2 linked regions of the Oryctolagus cuniculus genome follow. The protein of the gene in region 1 interacts with the protein of each later gene in a biochemical or structural test. Links are inferred from orthologs where the notes say so. Each region holds a gene or a part of one and is shown in the gene's direction. Other genes may lie near its edges.

Region 1 (2,924 bases):
GGTGGGCCTGGGGGGCAGGGGTCAGGAGCCGGGCCTGGGACCCCACTGCCCGGCCTGGGGTGGGCCTGGGACCCCATTGTCCAGCCTGGGGTGGGCCTGGGACCCCACTGCCCCGCCTGGGGTGGGCCTGGGGGGCAGGGGCCAGGAGCCGGGCCTCGGACCCCACTGCCCCGCCTGGGGTGGGCCTGGAGGCAGGGGCCAGGAGCCGGGCCTGGGACCCCACTTCCCGGCCTGGGGTGGGCCTGGAGGCAGGGGCCAGGAGCCGGGCCTGGGACCCCACTGCCTGGCCTGGGGTGGGCCTGGGGGGCAGGGGCCAGGAGCCGGGCCTGGGACCCCACTGCCCGGCCTGGGGTGGGCCTGGAGGCAGGGGCCAGGAGCCGGGCCTGGGACCCCACTGCCTGGCCTGGGGTGGGCCTGGGACCCCATTGTCCAGCCTGGGGTGGGCCTGGGACCCCACTGCCCGGCCTGGGGTGGGCCTGGGGGGCAGGGGCCAGGAGCCGGGCCTGGGACCCCACTGCCCGGCCTGGGGTGGGCCTGGAGGCAGGGGCCAGGAGCCGGGCCTGGGACCCCACTGCCTGGCCTGGGGTGGGCCTGGGACCCCACTGTCCAGCCTGGGGTGGGCCTGGGACCAAATTGCCCGGCCTGGGGTGGGCCTTGGGGGCAGGGGCCAGGAGCCGGGCCTGGGACCCCACTGCCTGGCCTGGGGGTGGGGGCTGCAGGCCTGGGACCCCACTGCCTGGCGTGGGGGTGGGGGCTGCAGGCCTGGGACCCCACTGCCTGGCCTGGGGTGGGCCTGGGGGGCAGGGGTCAGGAGCCGGGCCTGGAACCCCACTGCCTGGCCTGGGGGTGGGGGCTGCAGGCCTGGGACCCCACTGCCTGGCGTGGGGGTGGGGGCTGCAGGCCTAGGACCCCGCTGCCCGGCCTGGGGTGGGCCTGGTGGGCAGGGGTCGAGGGCCACAGGCTGGGTGCCCCACTGCCCGGCTTGGGGTGGGCCTTGGGGGCAGGGGCCAGGAGCCGGGCCTGGGACCCCACTGCCTGGCCTGGGGGGTGGGGGCTGCAGGCCTGGGACCCCACTGCCTGGCCTGGGTGGACTTGGGGGGACAGGGGCTATGAACCAGGCATGGGACCCCGTTGCCCAGTCTGGGGGGTGGGGAATGCAGGCCTAGGACCCCGCTGCCCGGCCTGGGGTGGGCCTGGTGGGCAGGGGTCGAGGGCCACAGGCTGGTTGCCCCACTGCCTGGCTTGGGGGACGGCGGGGGCCGCAAGCCATGCTGGGGACCCTTCTGCCCGGCCCGGGGGTGGGGAACGCAGGCCTGGGGCCCGGCTGCTGGCCCGGGGGCGGGCTGACCGGCAGCCGCGTGCAGGTGGACGGGCTCCGGCACAGCCTCCTGCGGGCGGAGGAGGACTGCACGGTGGAGCGCAAGCACACGCTGCGGCTGCGGCGCGCCATGGAGCAGCGGCCGAGCCAGGAGCTGCTGTGGGAGCTGCAGCAGCAGAAGGCCCAGCTGGAGGCGCGCGTGCAGGACCTGGAGGCCGCGGCGCAGGTGGGGGCGCCGGGCGCCGGGCGGGCGGGGGCGGGTGGGCGCCGGGCGCCGGGCGGGCGGGGGCGGGCGGGGGCGGAGCCGCGCGGGACGGCCGCTCTGTGTCCAGCAGGGGACGCGGGAGCGGAGCAGCCCCTACGTCCAGGTGCTGGAGGAGGAGTGGCGGCAGGTGCTGCGTGACCACCAGGAGCAGGCCGGCACCGTCTTCTCCCTGCGCAAGGAGCTGCGCCAGGCCGAGGCCCTCCGCGCCCGGGTAGGAGGCGGGGCCCTGGGGGCCGGGCGCCCTCCCCGCGGGGCGCTGAGCGGCCGTCCCCACAGTGCGCGGAGGAGAAGGAGGTGTTGGACCTGCAGTGCCAGGCCCTGCGCAAGGACGCCCGGCTCTACAAGGAGCGCATGGAGGCCGTGCTGCAGCAGATGGAGGAGGTGGCCCTGGAGCGGGACCAGGTGTGTGGGGGCCCAGTGCCCTCCCCGCTCTCGGGGTCTCCCTCGGTGCGCCCCTCGGCCACGATGCACCCTCAGGGAGCTGCTCTAACACAGAAACCAGCACCTGGGGGGGGGGCCCTGGGGGCGGAGGAGGACTTGCACACACACACACACACACACAAAGAAGAAGAGCGGCCGGGACTCGGAGGCAGGCAGCGGCAGGGCTGGTAGGCGGGACCTCTGGCTGCCTCTGGGTGGCCCAATAGGGACAAAAATGGATCAAGTCCCGGCCGCGGGGGCGCTGATGGGCCCAGACTCTGCCCTGCCCCTGCCCGTGGCCCTGTTCCCTCTGTGTGTCGGTGTCCCACGGCTGGCCGGCCCCCAGTGGGGACAGGCGGGCGTCTCACACAGCACAGACCATCATGCTCCTTGTTTTTGAGATTTTATCTCTTTGAGAGGTAGAGAGAGAGAGAGAGGTAGAGAGGTCTTCCATCTGCTGGTTCACTGCCCAGATGGCCGCAATGGCCAGAGCTGCATTGATCCGAAGCCAGGAGCCTCCTCCAGGTCTCCCACGCGGGTGCAGGGCCCAAGGCCTTGGTCCATCCTCCACTGCTTTCCCAGGCCACATCACAGAGCTGGATCGCAAGTGGAGCAGCCGGGACAAGAACCGGCGCCCATGTGGGATGCCGCCCTGCAGGCTTTAACCGCTGCGCCACAGTGCCAGTTCTTAAGCTTTGCTTATTTGCGGGCAGTGGCAGCTCTTCCATCTGGTTCGCCCCCACTGCCTGCAACACCCGGGGCTGGGCCAGGCTGAGGCCAGCCCCAGGGGCTCCGTCCGGGTCTCCCCCACAGCGGGCAGGGCCCAGTACCCCCAGGTGCGTTAGCGGGAAGCTGGATCAGGAGCAGAGGCGGGGCCTGGTCCCAGGCGCTCCGACCCGGGCAGCGGCCTCACGCAGGGCG
Region 2 (4,144 bases), on another chromosome or scaffold:
TGGATAAGAAAGCCATGGCTTCATCCGTCATCAAGCCCGTTTTAATTTCAAACGCTTCAGCAACCTAGCCCTTAACCTGCTTGCTGGAAGGAAGGAAACAGGGGTGCGTGTCAGCGTACGCCGTGGGATCCATCTGCACAGAAGCAGGCTCCGACGGCCAGGAGGAGCAGTGCCTGCTGCTCGAGCCCACAGCCTGTTTCCAGCGAGGCTGGGGACACTGGGCCAGGGGACTGTGTGATGAAGGGCTGGCAGGCAGCAGGGAACTAAGAGCGGCTTCTTCAGCCATGCCTCAGTCAAGTTCAGTCCAGGGAAGACGTTGCTAAAGGAGGCGGAAGGGGGGGGCTGACTCCCTCCTCTCCCGCACCTCCAAATGCAGTCACAATGGCCCCGTCCTCTCTCCTTACCCACTGCTGGAGGTCTCAGGTCTCACCTCCCACAAGCACTATGGCAACCGCAACCTCCCTGGGGCCCGGTGTTGTTCCCTCCCCCCCAACCCTCGCAGCCGCTGCCACTGCTGCTGCTACTCAGCTGTGCACCTTTGTGGTGTCCTGAGCTCTTTGCACACACCCATCAGAGCAAGGCCCTGGTCCCTGCCTTCACCTTGCGACGCCACGGTGAGCACCTCCTGAAACCCAGATCTGGCCAGGTCGTTTCCCTGCAGAGAGCCCAGTGCCACTCTCAAGGCTGCCCACGCCCCCAAGGCCCTTCCCCACCCCACCGCCCTAAGTTCTCCCCTTTCGCGCCTCGCCCGTTGGTAATCCCCTATCCCCTCCATCTGGCACACCAGACGTGGGCTCCTGTTATGCTTTCTGCTCCTGAGCCACCCCCTCCCCCTTACACACATGCAGAAATGTTTGCCCAACGGGATGGACATTAGCCGGGGCTTTCTGAACTTCTCCCCCAGATACGCTTTGGAGTGTGAGGGCCTTGAACTTGCTGCTGAGGGTATCTCTCAAGATTCACCTTTTTATTTCAGGCAAAAATTGCGCGCTGTGCGGAGTACATAACATATCCTTGTTTGTTTCAATATAAAACCTGATTTTTTTTCCCAACTCTTCAAACTGATGATCCGGAAAGACGCTCCTTGTTTATTCCTTGCCCTCTGCAATTACCTGTTTCCTCCTCCCCCACCCCAGCCCCTGGAAAGGACTCCAGGAGAGACCTAGACGCCCTCCCTGTGCAGACCCTACAGAACAGCTGGGCTGGCGCTTCCAGGAGCAGCCGCGTGGGGGGGTGGGGGGCGGGCCGCCCCACCCCTCCCCCCGCCCGCCTCGGGGGCGGAGTCGCTCGGGTCCCGCCCACGGGGGCGGGGAGGGAGTCGCGGCCGCCGGCAGCTCGGGCTCGGCTGGTTCCGGGTTGAGAGGCTGCGCTGGACCGAAGCGGTGGCTGCTGAGCCGGCGGGGTAAGGGACCGCGCCGGGCCGGGGCTCGGGCAGTGGAGCAGGCCGGCGCCTCTCCTCTCTCCTGCAGAGCACAGCCGCTGTGCTCCTCAGCCTGGCTGCCCCCTCCCCCTGGACTCCCCATTCCCAGCCTCTCCCCCTCCCCCCACTGCCCCCATCCCCGGATTTCAGCCCCCCCAGGCCTCCGCCCCCACTCCCGAGTCCCCTGCTCCCAGCACTCCTCCCTTAGGACTGCCCGTTCCCCACATAACTCGCTCGCCAGGTACCCCCCTCCTGCTGCTCCTGGCTCTCGGGGCCACCCATCACCTCGGACCGCCCCCCACCCCGGGCGCTCATCCCAGGCGGTCTCTACCCTTAACCCTTCCCGCGCCGCCCCTCCCGGACGGCACCCCCTCCTCCGCGATCCTGGTCCCCTCGCCCCTCCCTGGGCAGCCCCGGCCGCGCCGCGCTCGCCCGCGCGCCCCCGCCGCCCCCGGCGCCATGGCGTGCAGCCTCAAGGACGAGCTGCTGTGCTCCATCTGCCTGAGCATCTACCAGGACCCGGTGAGCCTGGGCTGCGAGCACTACTTCTGCCGCCGCTGCATCACCGAGCACTGGGTGCGGCAGGAGGCGCAGGGCGCCCGCGACTGCCCCGAGTGTCGGCGCACCTTCGCCGAGCCCGCACTGGCGCCCAGCCTCAAGCTGGCCAACATCGTGGAGCGCTACAGCGCCTTCCCGCTGGACGCCATCCTCAACGCGCGCCGCGCAGCGCGGCCTTGCCAGGCGCACGACAAGGTCAAGCTCTTCTGCCTCACGGACCGCGCGCTGCTCTGCTTCTTCTGCGACGAGCCCGCGCTGCACGAGCAGCACCAGGTCACCGGCATCGACGACGCCTTCGAGGAGCTGCAGGTGCGCTGCCCGGCCGGCCCGGGGCGGGGGCGGGGCCGGCCCGCGGGCACGGCCCCTTCGGAGGTGTCTCGGGGCGGGGCCGCCGGCGAGGTCGGGGCCTATCAGGATTAATCCGGGGTGGGGCAGCGGCAAGGGGCGGGGCCTCGGGGGCGGGGCCTCGGGCTGTCTCTGCCAGGTTGGATCTGAGATTGACCTGGAGTAGGGGCGGGCCCGGGGTGGGGGAGAGGGCGAGGGTGGGGTGAGGCGGCGCAGTCACGGGACAGCAGAGCTGAGCAAGTGCCCGGCTTGGGGCAGCCAGGGGGCCAAGCCCGAGGAAGGCCAGGCGAAGGCGGGGCGGCTGTCAGGGGTCGGGGCCGCCGCGAGGAGCTGAGGGGGCCGGGTTGGGAGGAGCGCCTCTAGGGCAGCACCTGAATCAGGTATGGCTGCATCAGTACCCGGGCTCCGTTGTTCTGGGCCGGGGGAGGGCGGGGGGGATGCGGGTAAACCTGAGAGGGGTCAGAGTGGGGCGTTTGGGTGCCTAGGTGAGGCCCGGCTCTGTAAGGCTGCACAGTCAAGGTCGGACACCTGTAAGAACCGTATTGGATGTAAACCAGAGGAAGGGGCCAGGTTGAGGCTTGAAGATGAAAGACTTGGAGAAGGAGACCCAGAGCGGAGGTGCCTGGAGTTGAGGGAGGGGAGATGGCCTCCGGGGCTTTTGATGGCTCCCTTCGCTCATCATTGCCATCAGGTGTTTTGGCAAGCAGAGGAGAACTGTAACTGATCTTCCTTAAACCTTGCTGATGAGCCATTCAGCTCCCCAAACCCTACACAGTGTCCCCCGCCCCATGAAGCCTTCCCCCAGCACCACCAGCCAAAAACCTAGCGCTGGAGAAAGATTTCCTCAAATACTCTCTATGAACAAGTATGATGTTTTAAAAAAGATGTGTTCCAAGACAGGCTATATTTGGGAAGCATAGTATACTTTCTATTATCACACACCTACATCCTGAGGATTCTCTGTGAGCATTTGCCTATTAAAGGCTTGGGGAAATCTTGTAGCAAATGAGCCTATTTAACTGTGTTTGATCAAATGGTTTCCAAGCCTGCTTGAACCTGGAATCCTTTTCTTAATCCACACCATTTAAATCCGCAGCCCCATGCACCTGGCTTTGCAATACCATTCTAGCACACAATTTCCCAAGGGCAGGGCTGTGGCCCCCGAGCCTGGTGCAAGACCTGGCCCCCAGGACACGCCAGTACAGGTGAATGAAAGAAAGAGTGAATGAATGACCAACTCTGTTCTAAGCTGGCCCAGATCGTGGAGAGTTTGGAAGCAGCAGGTTTTTGGCTGAAACATTTTATGCAAATGGACTGGGCTCACCCAGGAGGTAGTGAGCTCTCAAGCAGGAGCTAAGTACCTATTTTCCCTTGTGTTCTTTTTTTAAAGCATTCATTTTTGAAAAAAAAAAGTTTTATTTATTTGAAAGGCATAGCAATAGGGAGAGAAAGAGAGAGAGATGTTTTCCATTTATTGGTTCACTCACTAAATCGCTGCAGCATCAAGGGCTGTGCCAGGCTGAAGCCAGGATCTAGGCACTCTTTTTGGGTTTCCTACATGGGTAGCAGGGACCCAAGTACTTGGGCCATCTTCTGCTGCCTTCCCAGGTACAAGCAGCAGGGAGCTGGATCGGAAGCGAGGCACTGGCACTTGGATATGGGATGCCCATACCACAAGCAGCAGCTTAACCCACTGCACCACAACACCTGCCCTTCCTCTCTGTTCCCAGGGGTCCCAACCCTGACCCATGCAAATCTTGGTAGGTGGCCTGTACCTAGCAGGTGCCATGAGGATGACCATCGACCCGGGAGAAATGGCCA

What was found.
Region 2: of the proteins of CARD9 (region 1) and TRIM62, one has a biochemical effect on the other in vitro, tested with the Homo sapiens proteins (4 studies listed by BioGRID, with this or other methods). The link is inferred for Oryctolagus cuniculus from reciprocal best matches to the Homo sapiens genes CARD9 and TRIM62.

The regions. Positions count from the first base shown.
Region 1 is NC_091432.1:236,667,502-236,670,425, forward strand, and holds part of CARD9 (caspase recruitment domain-containing protein 9), read left to right. Parts: intron 1-1,364; coding exon 1,365-1,544; intron 1,545-1,650; coding exon 1,651-1,794; coding exon of another isoform or gene 1,795-1,859; coding exon 1,860-1,985; intron 1,986-2,924. UniProt on the Homo sapiens protein: Adapter protein that plays a key role in innate immune response against fungi by forming signaling complexes downstream of C-type lectin receptors.
Region 2 is NC_091438.1:139,416,618-139,420,761, forward strand, and holds the start of TRIM62 (E3 ubiquitin-protein ligase TRIM62), read left to right. Parts: upstream 1-1,308; 5' UTR 1,309-1,879; coding exon 1,880-2,287; intron 2,288-4,144. UniProt on the Homo sapiens protein: E3 ubiquitin ligase that plays a role in antifungal immunity by mediating 'Lys-27'-linked ubiquitination of CARD9 downstream of C-type lectin receptors; leading to CARD9 activation, followed by activation of NF-kappa-B and MAP kinase p38 pathways.